2 linked regions of the Tribolium castaneum genome follow. The main gene of each other region encodes a partner of the protein of the gene in region 2 in a complex. Links are inferred from orthologs where the notes say so. Each region holds a gene or a part of one and is shown on either strand. Other genes may lie near its edges.

The links.
Region 1: RpL6 (region 2) and RpL10 share a complex: the UniProt entries of both Caenorhabditis elegans proteins name them as parts of the large ribosomal subunit. The link is inferred for Tribolium castaneum from reciprocal best matches to the Caenorhabditis elegans genes rpl-6 and rpl-10L.

What each region holds. Positions count from the first base shown.
Region 1 is NC_087395.1:15,962,446-15,965,787, reverse strand, and holds RpL10 (large ribosomal subunit protein uL16), read right to left. Parts: upstream 2,169-3,342; 5' UTR 2,053-2,168; intron 1,930-2,052; 5' UTR 1,924-1,929; coding exon 1,901-1,923; intron 1,850-1,900; coding exon 1,544-1,849; intron 1,154-1,543; coding exon 823-1,153; 3' UTR 783-822; downstream 1-782. Other genes in the region: acylamino-acid-releasing enzyme, read left to right, coding at 1-618, 668-764; Mrgn1 (E3 ubiquitin-protein ligase MGRN1), read right to left, coding at 2,557-2,813, 2,958-3,285, 3,341-3,342.
Region 2 is NC_087401.1:11,661,735-11,665,112, forward strand, and holds RpL6 (large ribosomal subunit protein eL6), read right to left. Parts: upstream 2,152-3,378; 5' UTR 2,056-2,151; coding exon 1,996-2,055; intron 1,639-1,995; coding exon 847-1,638; 3' UTR 779-846; downstream 1-778. Other genes in the region: gamma-aminobutyric acid receptor-associated protein, read right to left, coding at 2,649-2,723, 2,771-2,968, 3,147-3,359. UniProt on the Caenorhabditis elegans protein: Component of the large ribosomal subunit.

The sequences.
Region 1 (3,342 bases), on a different chromosome or scaffold from region 2:
AACCGCCCCTGCAAAATCAGTGAATCTGGTGGTTTGGCCGCACGGTGGCCCCCACAGCGCTTTCGCCAACAATTTCTCCCTCGAATCCTCGCTATTCCTCTCGCTCGGATTCGGGATCGTCTTCGTCAATTATCGGGGCTCAATCGGGGCCGGACAAGACAGCGTCAACTTCCTCCCGGGCAAGATCGGCCAATCGGACGTCTCCGACTGCATTCTCGCCACCCAAACCGCACTGCAGAAGTACGCGTGGTTGAACCCTGGCGGTGTGGTGCTTTTCGGGGGTTCCCATGGCGGCTTCCTCGTCACGTATTTGAGTGGGAAGTACCCGGACATGTTCAAGGCTGTGGTGGCCCGCAATCCGGTCATTGATGTCGCCTCGATGAGCATCATCTCGGACATTCCCGACTGGTGTTACGTCGAAGTTGGCTTCGAGTACACCCAGGTTGGGAAACCTAGCCAAGACGCGCTACTTGCCATGCGCAAGGCTTCGCCCATCGAGCATGCGCACAACGTCAAAGCGCCCACTATGCTGCAAGTGGGGTGCAAGGACTTGCGGGTGCCCCCACACCAAAGTCTGGAGTACTACCACAGATTGAAAGCAAACGGGGTTAAAATTAAGTGTGTAACTAACACGACTTTGTTTTTTTTTTCTGATATTGTGTTTCAGGATGAATTTATACGAAGATAATCACCCCCTAGCCCAAATTCCTAACGAAATGGACAACTTGATAAATTCATTGCTATGGTTCCAGGAACATCTCTAGGTTTAAGTGAAAAAAATATTTACCGTGTATTTTTTATTCAGAAATAAAAACGTACAAATCAAACAGTTAGTAGTTCTTCTTGTACCTTTTTCCATGCGTCAAGGGGGCCGTGTTCGGGCCTGTAGCGAACATTGCAACCGTCAGGGGCCAGCCTTCCTTGCTCCTTCAACTTATCGTACACTTCGCGGTCATATTTCGTAAAACCAAACTTCTTCGAAACGTAGATTTTCTGGCGTCCGGGGAACTTGAACTTCGCACGACGCAGGGCCTCAATGACTTGGGCCTTGAACCTGTCGCTAGATCGCACACTCATGATCGGCTGGCCAATGTTGACTCGCGCGACGGTGCCTTGGGGCTTCCCGAAGGCTCCTCTCATCCCAGTCTGGAGCCTAAACACCAAAAACAAAATAAAAACAAACTTATTTAAAAAATGCACTAAAAAAGAAAAAATAATGTTCAAAATATCAAACATTTTCACACCCAAAACGATTTTCTCGTCAAACTGCTGTTTTTTCTTAGTATTTCATTACTTGAATTATAAAACTATTAACCAAATAATGAATTAAAGCGAACAGACCAAGAACATCACAATATCTCAAAAACAATAACAATTATCCTGCAAAACACCAGACTGCAGATAACGTAAGTATGCAAAATTTCAGTTCATTCGTACAAGAACCCTTTCAAATTTGACTCGGAAAACACGAAAAAGGCAGACAACCAATGCAAAATAAGCAAGCTTGTAATAATGCAAGTCACGACGTGAATCATCAACGCACCTATCGGCTCCAGCACATGACAACATCTTGTTGATGCGGATAACGTGGAACGGATGGAGTCTCATGCGAATGTGGAACTGGTCTTTACCGCAGTTCTTGACGAGGTACTTGTTGGCGCAAATACGCCCAGCTTCAAGAGCCTCCGAACTCAACTGTTCGTACTCATCGGAGACTAAATGGACGCACAGTGGGAAGTCGTCCACTGTTGCTTTCTTCTTGCCCAAGTCGAAAATACGGATTTTCGGGTCGGGGACACCGCGACAGAAACGCGATTTGGGGTACGGCTTGTTTTTGCAGTAGCGATAACTGGAAAAAAAACTGTGAGCAGAAATGTTTGGTTATGGGAAAGTAACCTACCATCTCGCTGGACGTCTACCCATCTTGATCTGCAACGAAATAACCAAATTTATTATTCAATTCGTAAAGAATACGAAACAATGAATCAATTGGTAGCAAATTTGTGGCGAAATAGTGGAAGATGACTAAAATATTAGCAGAAATTTACTTACGAAGTAGACGTGAGACGAGGACAACAATGAAGAGGTTGACAACCAGCTGTGCCAACCTAAAGCGAAAAGAAACGAAAACAATAAATCCCCAACTATTCAAATCGTTTCAGCTCCACATATTTTTTACAAAAAAAATTGTTATTGTAAGGGGGAAAATAAGTATAAAACTATTTGATAGACATATATTTTAACAAATTATATACAAAACCAATATCACCTTTAAAATATAAATTACTTGATTATCCAAACCTGTAGAGTTAATTAAGACTAAATTGTAGGTACAACTGCACAATATATACATAAATGAAAAATTCGATATTTCCGCATTAAAATCCATTGATTTGGGACGTTTAAATGCCTCAATTTATCACAAATGAGTATTTTGGTTAAAAAAATGAATCTCGTTACCTAATGTCAAGTCACAAACTGGTAAAACCGTGCTCAAATAATACAAATAAAATAATTGTGTGCCCGTAATTACCAATAAAATTAAAATGTACATAATTAAATATGTACAGCTCTTTCATTTAACCCATTATGAGCCACAACAGCCAACAAATGTCTAGTGCTTGACCCGCTAGTATAGCTATCCCCACTACTTCTAGCACTAGCATGCGACATCGGCGTCCCCGGTAATTTTTGCGGAGTACTTTCAACAGAACTAGTAGCACCAGTACTCTCGTATAGTGGCCCAGGAGTCGGGGCTGGCTCTTCAGGAGTGTAATAATCAGACTCGTCTCCTCGCTCTTCACCATTGCTCCCTTAAAAAAATTAATTTATGCCGCAAACTTAAAACAGAGAGATTAAAATTTTATTTAAAACCAACCCTGATTAAGTGTCAAGCTTGCAAATAAACTTGACTCTTCCATTTAAAAACGAAAAATAAAATTTCATAAGTCACTTACGATATGTTTTTGTTTTTTCCGAAGCCGGCCTTGAAGCAATATCTTCATGATCCGTGTCTGTATCATCAATAGGCTCAACCACATCCACCATATTCAACGCCAAACTCCCATTTCTCAGATTTTCGCTGTTTTGCAACAAAGGAGACAGTTTTTCAGCATCACTGTCTTCATCACCATTTTCATCTTTTTCAGACTTCTCATTAACGTGTTTAACTGCATCGTGGATGCGGTGCTTCAGACGCGGACTTGAAATTTTCTGCTCAAGGAGGGGACATTTGGGGGTCTCCTTAGTGTCCTCCTCCACACGAGTCGTCATCAAAACCCCATACTAAAAAAAAACCAAATCACAGCAAACTTACAGAAACCTATAATTTGGAACAAACCT
Region 2 (3,378 bases):
ACAAATTTTTCGCAACTATCACTTTTATTTATCATCGTAACCATGCAAGCAACTCGATTTATCAGACCATTTTGTTCCAACTAATTTCTGTTACTTTTTTCTTCATCTGGAGGCTGTAGAAAAAACGTTGTTTGTATTTCGTGGCGAAATTCATGTTTTAATGGCGCCTTCGAATGTCTTTTAGGTCTCGACCTGGCGGTCTCGACTAAAATAACATTCTCAGGCGCCATTAAAAAAACACTCATTTCGCGCACTTAATACAAAAATTACTAATTTTCCTAAGCCGTAGAGACTAACTTTCTATATACATGTTGTTTTTTTGTAATTTATTTGCATTTTTGATGTAGCTTTTAAAACTAATAATTTTGACTTAACTAATGTCTGTTTATTTTCCTTGGTTTTTTAAGTATTTTAACGAAAACACTCTTATTTTAAAAATGTATTACTCAAAAACTAAGACTACAAAAATTGGACTTTCACCACTTTCAAGTAAAATGTTTAAACTTTAGGAATGTATTTTTTCTTAGTCATTTCGATCAAAAAAATGTTTGTTAAAAGTTAAATAACTTAAAAATTTTAAATGGAACACTATTTTTTATTTTTACATTTAAAAGACCTTTAAACTGTCTATCCAAAAACAATAAGAGTTAAGTGTCTTTCAAGTGCTGATTACTTGAAAGATATTTAACTTTAAATATTACCAAGTCGGTAGGACACCGTACAGACCTCCGTAGCATAAACCGATTTTTTAGTAAGAAAAATAAATGTGGGCTGTGTGTATAGAAAACCATCCTTTATTGAATTGTCAATTTTTTACAGTTAAATCAATAAAACATGGTACTTAATCTAAAACTGCATTCTGTGAGGGTACTGCGACGACCTCAGCCCGAACATAGCCGACAAATAAGCCAACAAAACTTTCCTATCGGGGTGCTTCTTAATAGCTTCAAAGACTTGCTTGTCGACTACTTTTTGGTCAGCTTTCCTCTGATCGCTCACTTTGTACGCCTCCTTCTTGGCCTGGAAAATATCCCCTTCCTCCTTCTTGGCCCTCTTCTCCCTCTTGCGCCGGAAATACTCATCATTGATAGTTTCCGGGATTTTCACACCGCTAACATCGATTTTCGTCTGCGTGCCTATAACATATCTCTGACTGATCCGCCTCAAGGGACACGAGTTGATCTGCATGGGCCCCGTCACCAGCAGCAGCCCCGAGTGCAACTGCTTCAAGAACACGACCCGCTTGCCCTTGTGCGAGCCCGCGAGAAGGATACACACAGTGCCGGGAGTAAGAGTCGAGCGCAAGTGGCGTTTATGTTGCTTGAACGTTTTCTTCGCCGGGTGCTTGCGGATCTTGTCCTGAGTGGGGTAATAATTGCGGCGTTTCTTAAGGAAAACCTTGCGTTCCTTGCCGTTTTTGTCGCCGCCGATTTGCTTCGTGACGAAAGCTGGCTTCGCCGGTTTTTTAGTGGCCTTCACTTTCTTGCCCATGAACTTGTAAAGGGCTTTCTTATGGTACATGCGGGTGCGGGAAAAACGCATTACGCCATTGCCGAGGTCGTAGTTGCGCGGTTTCGACGATTTTTTCTTATCGTCCGGCTTTTTTTCCTGCTTTGCAGCCTTCGCTGTCGGTGCCATCTGAAAAAACACACTGGGTTATGAGTGCAACGTGTGACTGCCGAAATCTGGGGTTATGTTGGCGAATTTTCACAAAAGTGGTCAGATTCACGTTATTCGACACTGCAGTCTTCAGAAGTGTCCTAAGGCAAATAAAATCATCACTTTAAAGGCATTTTACGGATGTAAGACGGTGTATTGACACTTTTACGAATAACCTCACAAAATGTTTTTTCGGCACAATTTCACTGAAATAACACTAGATTTGGGTTTTAAATGAGCCGACGATTGTTTTAGAAAAGGTTTTGGGGCAAAAAAGTAACGAAAAATGGACGATGATTGTGGATTTTTGTAAAAATTCACTTCGAAGACACTCACCTTTGCAGATGTTGCGGTGAAAGGAGATGGCGCTGCTAGTGATTTTGTCACTACCAACATAAAATTGAAATGCGTTCTTAATTCCTAAAATGGGGAAAATATTGCACTTTCGTTATCGTATTTAACACTAAAATTAGTTCTTTAGTTATATGTGCACTAGTTAGTGGCCTAAGGATCGGCTTTTCACCATTAAAATAGAATAAATTTACACAGTTGGGGAAAACCCAACAAAACAAAGGACACCACCAAAAATTTGAATTGTTAACACAATGATAACAATTTCACGAAGTTTTTGCAAACAAATAATAACTAAAAAGTCTTGGTTTTTAAATATTTTTATTTAGATAACTACATCATCTCTTTTACATACCTAATCTAATACTTTCGTAATTCCATCAAAAATTAAATATCAGTTTATTAAATTTGTGATGAAACGTCTTCCTTTCATAGCAGCGCTTCCGTAACATTCAACTCAAAAGTGTTAGAATATTCAGCCCTATCAGAAGATAAAAATAAACAATACAACTATCACAATTAGAAAAAGTCGCCACTCAGACAAACAAAAGCCTTATAAGTAATATAAAATAAATGTTAAACTTTTACCGGTGCTTTATTGTAATCAGAGATTTATAAAAATTTCATTTGTTGCTAAATTAGAGCTCCTCGCTTCCGTAAACGTTTTCATCAGAGTAAGCAATGTACAAGAAAAAGTCCTCTTCGTGATGCTCCTAAAACCGTGAGTAAATCCCCTAGATCACACACCAGTGCTACCAACCTGGTAGAGCGAGCCCATGGTGGCCGAAGTGGGCGGAATGACGTTATTTACAAAGAAAAACAACGCATCCTCGGGCCTTAAATGGATCCGTTTCCTAATCAAAAAGTAAAACTGTCCCACGGTCAAATCCGACGGAACCAAATATTTCTTCTTGTCCAAATCACCAATTCGGGCCCTGGGGGCTTTTTCGACGATCACCTGATTACGAAAACAATTGACATCACGTGACCTTGATACGCCATTTTCGTAAAAACAAAACAAATGACGACGTGTGGTGAAATCGGGGAAAATGGGGCTAGGAACGGGGGCTTTGGCCCCAATTTGGGGCTCTGGACGGGGCGCTTCTTTGTTTGGGTGCAATGACGCAGATACTTACGGGGACCCTGTCGGGGTACTTTCGGCGGATTTTCTCGCCCTCGGACTTTCTCTTCTCAAACGGGTGCTCTTCTTTGTATTGGAATTTCATTTTGAGGGTTTTGACACAGGAATTTGGGCCGTTGACAAGGTTTCGATACGTTTGTTCACTTTGGTCACTTTTGCTTGTTATGACACAAAACAATCGATCGCAATAACTTCCTCTACTGCGCATCCAAAACAACAACCGATAA